Linked DNA regions of Tribolium castaneum. The protein of the gene in region 2 purifies or fractionates together with the protein of the main gene of each other region. This does not show direct contact. Links are inferred from orthologs where the notes say so. Each region holds a gene or a part of one and is shown on either strand. Other genes may lie near its edges.

What was found.
Region 1: the proteins of armadillo segment polarity protein (region 2) and hyd purify together in Homo sapiens (affinity purification with western blotting; 3 studies listed by BioGRID and IntAct, with this or other methods). This does not show direct contact. The link is inferred for Tribolium castaneum from reciprocal best matches to the Homo sapiens genes CTNNB1 and UBR5.
Region 3: the proteins of armadillo segment polarity protein (region 2) and CrebB purify together in Homo sapiens (affinity purification with western blotting; 3 studies listed by BioGRID). This does not show direct contact. The link is inferred for Tribolium castaneum from reciprocal best matches to the Homo sapiens genes CTNNB1 and CREB1.

Annotation. Positions count from the first base shown.
Region 1 is NC_087398.1:9,888,666-9,892,957, reverse strand, and holds the start of hyd (E3 ubiquitin-protein ligase hyd), read left to right. Parts: upstream 1-1,492; coding exon 1,493-1,688; intron 1,689-1,765; coding exon 1,766-1,885; intron 1,886-1,933; coding exon 1,934-2,184; intron 2,185-2,231; coding exon 2,232-2,501; intron 2,502-2,550; coding exon 2,551-2,830; intron 2,831-2,878; coding exon 2,879-2,986; intron 2,987-3,207; coding exon 3,208-3,475; intron 3,476-3,527; coding exon 3,528-3,747; intron 3,748-3,794; coding exon 3,795-4,161; intron 4,162-4,227; coding exon 4,228-4,292. Other genes in the region: E3 ubiquitin-protein ligase hyd-like, read left to right, coding at 75-441, 589-770, 820-1,001, 1,052-1,324. UniProt on the Homo sapiens protein: E3 ubiquitin-protein ligase involved in different protein quality control pathways in the cytoplasm and nucleus. Mainly acts as a ubiquitin chain elongator that extends pre-ubiquitinated substrates.
Region 2 is NC_087395.1:16,178,640-16,182,139, forward strand, and holds part of armadillo segment polarity protein, read left to right. Parts: intron 1-1,102; coding exon 1,103-2,727; intron 2,728-3,500. UniProt on the Homo sapiens protein: Key downstream component of the canonical Wnt signaling pathway.
Region 3 is NC_087395.1:6,453,005-6,456,933, reverse strand, and holds the start of CrebB (cyclic AMP-responsive element-binding protein 1), read left to right. Parts: upstream 1-1,129; 5' UTR 1,130-1,287; intron 1,288-1,293; exon of another isoform or gene 1,294-1,393; coding exon of another isoform or gene 1,394-1,429; intron 1,430-3,929.

The DNA of each region.
Region 1 (4,292 bases), on a different chromosome or scaffold from region 2:
TCCAGACCCTTTTCAGGGCAATATACTTGGTTTAACTCTGTCGTCCTTAAATGTACAGAGTCCTTTACTTTCAGGCGGTCGTGGTGCTCCGGTTATCATAGGAACGAGCAGTTCGAGCAGTGGAAGGCCGATGGTGACGGTGCCAGCGCCCTACGTCCCAGAAGAGCTGGTTTCGCAAGCTCAGGTGGTGCTTCAGGGGAAGAGCCGGAATTTGATAATACGGGAGTTGCAACGCACAAATCTTGATGTTAATTTAGCCGTTAATAATTTATTGTCGCGCGATGATGAAGAAGGAGAGGAAGGAGACGATGCAGCTGATTCTTACGTTCCAGAGGATCTAATTTCGCTGCTTGACGGAGGGTTTCATACCGATCATTCGGTGATAATCGATGCTGATGCGATGTTTTCCGAAGATATGTTTGGATATTCGGGCATTAGGAAGTAAGGATTTTTGGTTTGATCTGTTTGACTCGCTTTTTGTGTAGTTGCGCTTTTTTTGTTGGTTAACAACTCTATCGCTTGCATTTTTTTCTATTTTTTTTGCATTTTAACTAACTCGTTGGGAATGTTTGACTTTGCTCAAACAAGCTTCCTTAATAGTCGCGGCAGTGGAAGGAGTCGATTGGCCGACAGAGATGCACCACCGAGCAATAGTTCGAATTCAGATCGAGACAGAGAGAATTTTTCGAGGTGGAGAGATCGTCAGTATTTCGGACCTAGGAGGTGGCTTGAAACGGCACTAAGGGAAAGTCCGTACGAAAAAGATTCAGGTTGGTGCTAGTGATTTTTATTGAATACGACATTAAATACCAAATTTAGATCACAAGAAGAAAGACAGCGCGTGTCCACTTTGGATTTCCGACGACTTGGAATTTTGGCCCGATTCTGCACCGAAATTCGTCCAAATTGCGAGTCTCTACTCGGAATTAATCGCATTGTCGAGTAACGGACAATTGTTTCAATGGCGTTGGAACGACCCCGAACCTTACAGACATCCAGAGGTACGTTCATAGACACTTGAAACCAACCGAAATGCATTTATTCGTTCCAGAATTGTAACATACATCACCCCAAGACAGTTCCTTTGGGTCTAATGGGCGAAAAAATCGTCCATCTCTCGGCTTGTTGCACCCGTTGCTCGGTCTCAACCGAAAGCGGCAAAGTCGCCACTTGGTTAGACGAGCTTTTGGCGCCAGCAGCAGCTAAATTGGAACATTCAGCTCAGGCCTATTCCGAGTTTCAAACTGACAAGGTTGCAGCTTTGTACACGTGTCCGTTGTACACGGTTGCGAAGCTTGAAAGTGGTGCTTTGTACTGGTGGTGAGTATTGATTCACGTATATTATTGACCCATTTTGCTAAAAAAATTGATTAAAGGGGCGTTTTAACCGTTTGCTCAACGCAAACGATTGTGGGAGAAATACCGTACAAAGTGCCGGAAACAAAGACCTTCAAACAATCAATCAGAGATCGTTACTGGGTCGCAAGTTTGTATGAAGAACAGTCCCATGTATCAAGCGGGTGCGATAGGGTTTACCATCGCCAATGGAGTACCAAAAGTGGGCCAATTACAGAATGCGGCTTGGACGTTGAGCGATACTTGCACTTTTAAGATTATCAACGTGCAAACGAGTGGAGCTTCGAGTGCCGATAAGGGGAGAGATGCCGTGCCGGGCCCTAGCGGGTTATGTAAGTCTTTTTTGATATTTATAAACTATTTTATCTGTACTGGACTTAAATGTTTACGGGGTTAATGTTCGTTGCAGCGAATTTAACAAATAAAAGTTCGTCGAATAAAGAAAACGCCGATAGGCTTGATATGCCACCGCCACCATCGCCGGCTTCGAGTACTTGCAGCGATACCGGAAGTATTTCAAACAGTCACAGTAAGTTTTCTACAGTTATTGTAAAACCAATTAATAAAACAATTAAAGAGCGCCAAAAACGCATGACCGTGTCTGGGAGCGACACCGGTTCGGAGCAAAGAAAAGACGAAGAGGAGTGGCTTCTACGGAATGTAATTTTCGTGGAAGATGTACGAAGTGTTCCAGCAGGTCGCGTTTTGAAAGTGGACGGTGCTTACGCCGCCGTCAGATTTCCAAGTGGACATTCCAGAGATCGTGACGCCAAAGATGCCGACGATATTTTCCAAGATTGTCGATTGATGCGCAAGGACGACCTCCAAGTATGAACAATAATTTGGTTTCGGTCAAAATTATTTGTGTTTTGTAGGTGATCAAATCGTCGTCTAATTCACGCGTTCCTGACTGTTTTCAAAAAACACCTCGACGTATCCAAATTTCCGACAATAGCAATCAAATTCTCACGATTGCCGTTGATGGACAAGGCATACATGCCATAGTTCGGAACGGGAGTAAATTGAGTTATGTCGTTTACAACGTCAGTAGCGGAAGAATTGAACAAGATAATCCATTTCCGAGCGACACTGCTTCGTTCATGGGGCTCTATCCACATTTGATCAACTTGATTTGTGCTGGAGAAGTATGTCGTTTGTAGTGTTTGCCTGATTGTTACATTGTTTGTATTTCAGAGTTCTGAAACAATTTTGGTTTTGCGCGACGGTAACAGCACGATTTACCCCCTCAGTAAAGATTGCGCCGATGCGATTCGCGACCCACAATGTCTAGACTTGCCTCCAGTCAAGTGCCTGACAGCTGGTACATTTGGTTTGACTGGAACCGGCCTCAACATGAAGAATCAAGTGGCTATTGTTGTCTTTGCACTTGAACAACAACTACTCATGCCGAAAATACTACGTTGTGATATTGATGGCGTCCGGCAAGTTTTGGCCCAACTAGACAGCGATTTGAGTAAGTTTTACTATTTTCCCGTGTGATATTGTGATGAAAAATTTTCAGAAGCCAACATTTCGAATATCTTAAACGAACGTTGCGACGGCAATCGTAACATTTTCCACGCTGTTGTGAACATGTGTACGCCGACGTCGAACAAGGAAACTGAAAGCGGTGAGTTGGCCAAATTTATGCTTTAGGTGATTACGTTAGGCTCAAGTCGCGTGCGTAGCTTGATTTGTTGGGATCGTCATTTCCAGACCCGTCAGCTGGCCTGGAATGTATCAATGTGATAACGAACGCCGTAGGCCCTCGATCAGTTACGCTACGCGATATGATGCGTAGAGCCGTTGTACGTAGCGAAAGCGCACTCAACAATACTTCTAACTCTGCAGATCAGCACAGTTTCGTCCAAGAAGAACCGATACCGACACACAGTTGGCCACCGGAAAGCTTCGATGTTACGTCAGGCGATGAGGATAGTCTGATGGGTTTGGGAAGCAGTGCTGCCAATAATAAAGGGAGCGGAAACAACAGTAACGCACCGACGAATCTCGTCGTCGATCCAGTTGAAAGACGATCAAACGCGATGCAAATCTTACACGCGCTTTTGTATGATTCCTCGGCTTTGGAGTCGCATCTCATCGAGCTTTTATGTGCAAAGTAATTTTTTTCTCTGCGAGTTTGATTAAATAACCATTGGGATTGGTTTTAGGGATGCACAAGGTCAAACTCCGTTCATGTTGGCCGTATCGTCGCGAAGTTATCCAGCCGCGTTGGAAATTTTCGAAAGAATCATTAAATTGGGGACTCCTCAGGAACGCGAAGAGATGATCTTTCCGAAAGGTTCAAATCCGGATCACTCACCTCTGCATGTTCTGTGCTGCAACGACACGTGTAGTTTTACCTGGACTGGGGCCGAACACATCAATCAAGTAAGACATGGTACGAAAAAAAATAGTTTTTGTAATTAAAATTGTAGGATATTTTTGAATGTCGCACTTGTGGCCTCACCGGAACGCTTTGCTGCTGTACGGAGTGTGCGCGTGTTTGCCACAAAGGCCACGATTGCAAGTTAAAAAGGACTTCGCCTACGGCTTACTGCGACTGCTGGGAGAAATGTAAATGCAAAGCATTGATAATGGGGAACCAAACGGTCCGTTACGAACTTTTGACACGTTTGGTTAAAGAAACCGATCTCGTCTGTTTGCCGAATTCACGCGGCGAAAGTATCTTGCTGTTTTTGGTCCAAACTGTTGGTCGACAAAATCAAGAACAGCGACAGTTTCGTCACACCAGGCCCAGGACGGCATCGGCAAATTCCCGAAATAAAACACCTTCTTCAGATAGTGAGACTCTTTATTCTTATTTGACTCGTATTAACTGTCCGTTTGTGTATTCTCCTTCTGTTTCAGTTGAGACCGATATGCCCGAGCATGATTTAGAGCCTCCCAGATTCAGTCGTCGAGCTTTGGAGTGC
Region 2 (3,500 bases):
ATGTTACGATATAAATATAAATAATAAATACTTTTGTAACTTATCTTCAATAAGAAGCAGTAATTTTTTTTATTATTTGTTTAGTGGTCACTGATCAGTAAGGCCCAATAGTGTGTCTGCGACTTTTGATGTACCCGATTTTGCTTTTTATTTTTGCTTTACTTTTAAGGATCTCATTTTATTTTGCTGACCATCACATAACAAAATACAATACTAGTATAAAAAATAATAATCGTATTTTCAATTTAATTTCTTTTTATTCCTTTAGTTAATTACTGGTATTATTTTAGAATATAAATTTTTATTTTTCTAGAGGTGAAGAAAATTTCAATTGTTTTCTATTTTTTATAAAAGCGGCACTCATTTTTGATTTTCAATTTTGAACAGCAATTTATTCTTATTAGTTATTAACTTATTACTTAGGGCCATTTTCATAACCATAATAAGGATTATTAAATTAAATGTTGCTTATAAAGTGCTCGTTTTTACGATTTGTTGACAAACTTTACACATTTTAATAATTTAATTTAATGCTCTTTTAAATTCGGTTATGAAACTGGCCCGTCATCATAAAAATAAGTAAGACTTCTGATAACTAGTCCATCAAATTCAAATTATACGGGGTTAAATAACTAAGAATCTTTTTTTATTGTTTAAAATTGAATTTTAAAGTCAATGCCAAGGGTTGCGAAAGAGAAGAATAGAATTTTCGCCTGAGACATGTGCTTATCTAAAGCTAAAGTGCTACTTATAACAGTCCTTATCGGGATATTACCAGCGTTATTAAATATAATTATGTATGAGATTCGTTTATTTTTGTTTCCTCATGCAAATAGGGGATTATCCCGACCATCAGCACATGTTGAAATTCCCTTTGTTGGTTTCGCACGAACACGTAATAATGACCACGTCACTTCCAACCCATGAACAACTCGCAAACAAATGTACTAGGGGATTGCATCCTCTTTAATAATCCACTTATACTTTGTAATCGTGAGTTCCCATTAATAAACTCCCAAGTTTTTACCCCCTTCATTACTATGTATTCAAGCTGGATTTTCTCTCATGTAAGTCTCAAAGTGACACAGTTATTTTTGTCCAGTCTCGCAGAGCCACTATCAGGGGGGCCCCGGTGATTTACCCATGCCGCCCGCGAAAGAACAGACCCTCATGTGGCAACAAAACTCGTACATGGGCGACTCCGGCATCCACTCCGGAGCCGCCACCCAGGTACCATCCCTGAGCGGGAAGGAAGAAGACATGGACCTCTTTGACTTGGATCAAGGATACTCCCAAGGCTTCACCCAGGATCAGGTCGACGAAATGAACAACCAGCTCAACCAGACGCGCTCGCAGAGGGTCAGAGCTGCCATGTTTCCGGAGACTTTGGACGAAGGGATCGAAATCCCCTCGACTCAGTTCGATCCCAGCCACCAGACGGCCGTTCAAAGGCTCTCCGAGCCGAGTCAAATGCTCAAACATGCAGTCGTCAATCTAATCAATTATCAAGACGACGCGGATTTGGCGACTCGTGCCATCCCCGAGCTGATCAAACTATTGAACGACGAAGACCAAGTGGTTGTTTCGCAAGCCGCGATGATGGTCCACCAGCTCTCCAAGAAAGAGGCTTCGAGGCACGCGATCATGAACAGTCCGCAAATGGTGGCAGCGCTAGTGAGGGCCATTTCCAACTCGAATGACCTGGAAACGACCAAAGGTGCAGTCGGCACCTTGCACAAATTATCGCACCATCGGCAAGGTCTCCTGGCCATCTTCAAAAGCGGGGGAATTCCAGCATTGGTCAAACTGCTGAGCTCCCCGGTTGAAAGTGTGCTCTTTTACGCCATCACCACCTTGCACAATTTATTGCTTCACCAAGACGGCTCCAAAATGGCCGTCCGCTTAGCCGGAGGCTTGCAAAAAATGGTCGCGTTGTTGCAACGAAACAACGTCAAGTTCTTGGCAATTGTGACCGACTGTTTGCAAATCCTGGCGTACGGCAACCAGGAGAGCAAACTGATTATTCTGGCATCGCAAGGTCCCATCGAACTCGTGAGAATCATGCGGTCGTACGACTACGAGAAGTTGCTCTGGACGACGTCCCGAGTCTTGAAAGTCCTATCCGTGTGTCCGAGCAACAAGCCGGCCATCGTCGAAGCCGGCGGCATGCAAGCCCTGGCCATGCACCTGGGGAACCCCAGCGGCCGCCTCGTGCAGAACTGCCTCTGGACCTTGCGTAACCTCTCCGATGCCGCGACCAAAGTCGACGGTCTCGAAGGCTTGCTCAGTTCCCTGGTGCAGGTTTTGAACTCGCAAGACGTCCACGTCGTTACTTGCGCTTCTGGTATTTTGTCTAACCTGACGTGTAACAACCAACGCAACAAAGTCACCGTTTGCCAAGTCGGTGGTGTTGATGCCCTTGTGCGCACAATTGTGAGCGCTGGGGATCGTGAGGAGATCACAGAACCGGCCGTTTGCGCTTTGCGACATCTCACGTCGAGACATGTGGAGTCGGAAATGGCGCAAAATGCAGTCAGGTTGAATTACGGTATTCAAGTTATCGTGAAGTTGTTGAATCCGCCATCGCGTTGGCCGCTAGTCAAGGCCGTTATCGGGCTTATCAGGAATTTAGCGCTGTGTCCGGCCAATCATGCACCACTAAGGGAGCATGGGGCGATACATCATTTGGTGCAGCTGCTGATGAGGGCCTTCCAGGACACACAGAGGGTAAGACATTGCAGTTACTTATTGTATCTGTTACGGCTAGTGTGTAAACTTGGCTAGTTTGTAAACTAGTCAGACCATTCGCTATTTTAATAGAAAACACAGTTTCAACTAAAATAGCGGCTAGTTTACAAATTAGCCAAGAATCTTTGCTATTTTACTGGAAAGATAAAATAACTGAATAGTTTATAGATTATTCTAAGACATTCTGGCTAGGTAATATGAATACCATACTTTATCGTAATACAAAATATCCAATTTATATAAGTTTATTTGTTTATTTAAATTACGGACACAATCATATTTGAGACTTTTAATAAACACCGGTTTTTTTTCTTAATTCTTCTTGTGCTACGACAGCATTTTCGATCTTAAGGGTGGGTATACAATATTTAACGGTTCTATTTTGTTTTCACTTATTAAACTTTTTTATTCTCATTATTATTCTGTAACTTACTTCGTATAGTACTTACGCCTGTTTTATATAATTATTGATTTGAAGTTTTTGCTAATAAATGAGAGCTTTGAGCTTTAAACTAGAACCATTTCTGGTCTAGATAACTTGACCTCAGGATTTCTTTTCAATTTCTACTTTTGAAGATTTACATATTACACACAATAAAAAATTAAAATTGAATTTTTAATATATTATGGTTCAGTATTTTATTTGCTTCTCTTTTTTGTAAGATTTTTGGACTTCAAGGGCAAGCTTGTAGAAGTATTTTTTTGAAACTGTTTGTAATATTCGGAATTATTTATGAAGAATTGCAATTAGA
Region 3 (3,929 bases), about 9.7 Mb from region 2:
TTTTCCCAATAATTCAGAAAAAATGACATCAATTTTTTTTATACGTTATATCCATCATACATAACACTATTACAACTCGAGTACAAATTAATTAAGGTGTTACTGAACTGTGGTGGGGAACAAAAAATTTCGGACATCTTTGACATTTCGTTGAAATAAACGTGTGTAATTCCCTATCCTTTTTAACAATGACAAAGTGCCCAAAATTTTTGGCTCACCGTTGTTATTATTTTGTAAGAGCAAAATCCAATTGTTGTAAAAAAAGCATTTTGTTTACTATTCTTCTTTTTAACCACTCCCGGCTCAAAAAGTTCGGAAAACACATTGTCAGTCGGAGAATACAAGATTAAATAAAGATCACAATGATAACAAAGTAATCAAATTCGTCTTCAACATTTCACATTATAAAGATTTCAAAAATGAAGAATTAACAAAAAATGTGCTAACTGTTTAGAGCGTCATTATTAGGTGCTCGGACTCTACCATTCTTCGGGCTTCATCATAATCTAATGGGTTCGATATTCTGAACATTTGCACTTTGCAGAAACGAATGAGTAATGAGAATGAGAGGGATTTGAATTAGATCAAATTCAGACACTTATTTTTTGTTTTCTGAAAATATTTAGAATCTGAAAGAATACTTAATTACTTTTTAAATAGTTAACTCGTCGGACTAGTCCACATGGGTACAACTGTAAAATGAGATAATACGTACACACCAATCTTGTTGTATATTCAACAATTTAAACTGCTTCATGGAGGATGTAGGAGGAACGTTATTGTTGTGATACGCCACTGAAATGTGCTCAAAAAATGCTAAATGAAAGATTCTTTAAGAAAAACACCGAAAATGAATGGAACCATCCTGTCATTGCATCACTGGCGAAAACCGTGGAAAAATTTCAAAACGATTCCACTCAACTTGGAAAATTTTCAAATCAGCTGTTGAAAATAGCACTCGCAAACGATCAAGTTGCCTTTGACCATGGAAATGTCAAAAAAATTCAAAGATTTTCGCCGCGAAAATCCACGATTTTCCTTTCCAGCCTCACACATGGGTCAAGCCATGGCACGGAGGCCGTCGTCGTCGAAGGGATCGCGGGCGAGACGTGGAGTGCGGTGCGAGAGGAGGCTGCAAGCGCGCTCTCGGGCGCCATTGCTGTGACGCGCACTTGTGTTCTGTTCTCGTCCAGTGACGACCGCCCAGAAATTTTGACGTGGTTACTACGTATAGCCCGCTTACCCACTCCGATCGCTTCAAACTCGGTGACGACGAATACGTAACTGGTAAGTACCCAGCTGAAGAATAATAACACCGTGCCGACGTGGTCCAGACATCCCTTCGAAGGTGGTGATTCGAGTATTGGCAGTGTTTTGTGCGGACGCTTTTAAAATGTCGACAAGGTGTTTTGCGAGTTTATTGGAAAAGGTATTGAATATGGCGTCATATTGCTCGCGTTTGTTTTAATTTTAGAAATATACGCACACGGACGGACACACTTTTTATTCTTTCGACGGTTTTCGACATTTTTTTGACCAGTGCTGCTGTCAAAACGTCGTGCCGTGGCTCAAGGCTTGCTGTGATTTGCTTAGTCATGTTAAATAGACTGCTTTGATTTTAAATTATTAGATTGGGGTTAGGATCTAACACTGTCAGATTTGACATTTCCACGGACGCATCAACATTTTTTATTATAGCTTCAAAATCCATCTCTAACGCTTCATAACTATTTATGGATAATTTTAGTCCAAATTCACTTGCAATCAATTGACAAGCTAATTTGCAACTTTGTTTTGCTTACATAATAACAGTCTCCTTGTTTTCCAACCGTTTTCAATTTATAACGCAGTTTTACGCCGATTTATCAATAATCGTGGTACCTGAAGTGTATAATCCCAATTAACTTGCAACCAACAATACATCGAGGACAAATCCTAAACACCTGTAATAATTATAATTAATAAAAACCAAGTAGTTTTGGTGTCAAATATTACACTATAAGTAAAGTCTGGATTTAGCAAGTAAAAAAACTGTATTCATTTACCTCTAATAGCAATTTTTAATAAAATAATGTATCGTTCAAGAAGGCCTTGTTACATGACAGCTGTCACTTAAGGTTAAATTTAATCGAATGAAAAATTTTAAATTAAATTTTTAGGGAAAATTATAAAAGAAAACATTTTTTTTCAATAGCATGTTGTTCCTATAAAAAAAACGTTACCTCACAGATCAGTTTTTATCAAATTTTAAATTTCTGTTGTTAACGGGTTGAGAAATTGATAGTTTTGTAGTATTTTTTCATAAAAAAACAACATAACTGTTCTTTAATAATTATTAATAAAACGACAATAATAAAATGGATAGGAATATAATTCTTTTTACTTTATTTTTAAATGTCACACTTGTCTTTTAATTACTACAAGGTTGTTCACGTAAGTTTACGAGGCCTGCGCCTGTAAAATGCAATCAACAATACATATTCCAATACGAACTTGATTACAAACTTTGAGAAATTAGATTGCCTTCTCTAGCTTTGTTCATCCTTTCAAAAAACTGCAAATTTTTTTGTTAGTTGATGATTAGGATTAAGTTACATAGATTTCATGTTAAAATACATAAAAATTGTTTCTGAAAAACATTTGTTTTTCGGTGAAAATTCATACTGAACATGTATTTCTTTTCTTTATTTAGTTTATTTAGTGAAACTTACTTTTCGTTTTACTACTTTTTTTTCAGTATTTTAAGAGGAGTTAAGGGACTGCAGACAACGCCGATCTAGCTTTGATCAGTAGAATCAAGAGAAATTAAATTCGTAAAAAATACCTTATAACTTATAACTCATACAAAAATAAAGAAAAGTGAACTTAAACAAGTGTTTTCTGTTTTACAAAGGTTTTTCTGTTATTGTTATTGAGTAATGATTAGTAATAATTTTTTTAATAAAGAGTAGTTTGTATCAATTTAATTCAAAAACTATGCAAACACAACAAATTCAATACATTATTAGAAATTCTAATAAATGCAAAAATGTTGTAACTCATTTTTGAAGACTTAAAATTACAAACTTGAAAATTATTTTTTTAGATGATGTGGTGAATGAGTGAATGAATATAAAAGATGATTTATTTATAGGTTATTTCTGACTATCATGTCCTAAGACGCAACCAAAAATACTAATTAATTATAATTACTTTAACAACTTTTGTTTTCAACATTTGATTTTTAAAACATTAATTGAATCAAGATTGGTATTTTGTCTTTTATGTCTTTCTTTCGGTCAAAATTTATGGTTTTCTTCTGTGTACGGAAGTTTTGAAAAATGTTTGGCATTTCTGTATACGAAACGTCAGATTATTTTTAATAGATTTAAAGTAATTTTAAGCCTTGTAGAGTCCAATAATTCGAAAAATAAAATGTATTTAAGATAAAATGACGATTAAATAATAATAGACTATAATAAAGACAAACTTGAAAATACTTAGAATAACGCAATCGTGTATTAATTTTGAAATTTTGAACGTTGGCTGATCTGGGCAGCTAGAAATCTGTAGCTGAAAATAAGTATTATTCTAGTATTATTATTATTGGTTGTATCTAAAAACATTACAAATAATCCATGAGTGATTTACCCTGTATGTGTCTTTAACGTATATTTTTTTAATTGTTAACATTTAAAGGTCAATAGTTGAGTAGTTATTCTACATACTTTTCCTTACTGTCCCACGTGAAATCGTCTCTAAATTTGGATATGCAACCCATAAATTAAGCGGTTTTTAAAAACACAAATAGTATTTCTCTACAAATGATGCAGGAATTTTTCCCAAAGACTAGGTTAAAAAGAAATTAACGTTTTGATAATAATTAATTATAATAACTAGACTTACTTCGTCGCAAATATTTGGTATTTATGACTTCGATAAGCTCCAAT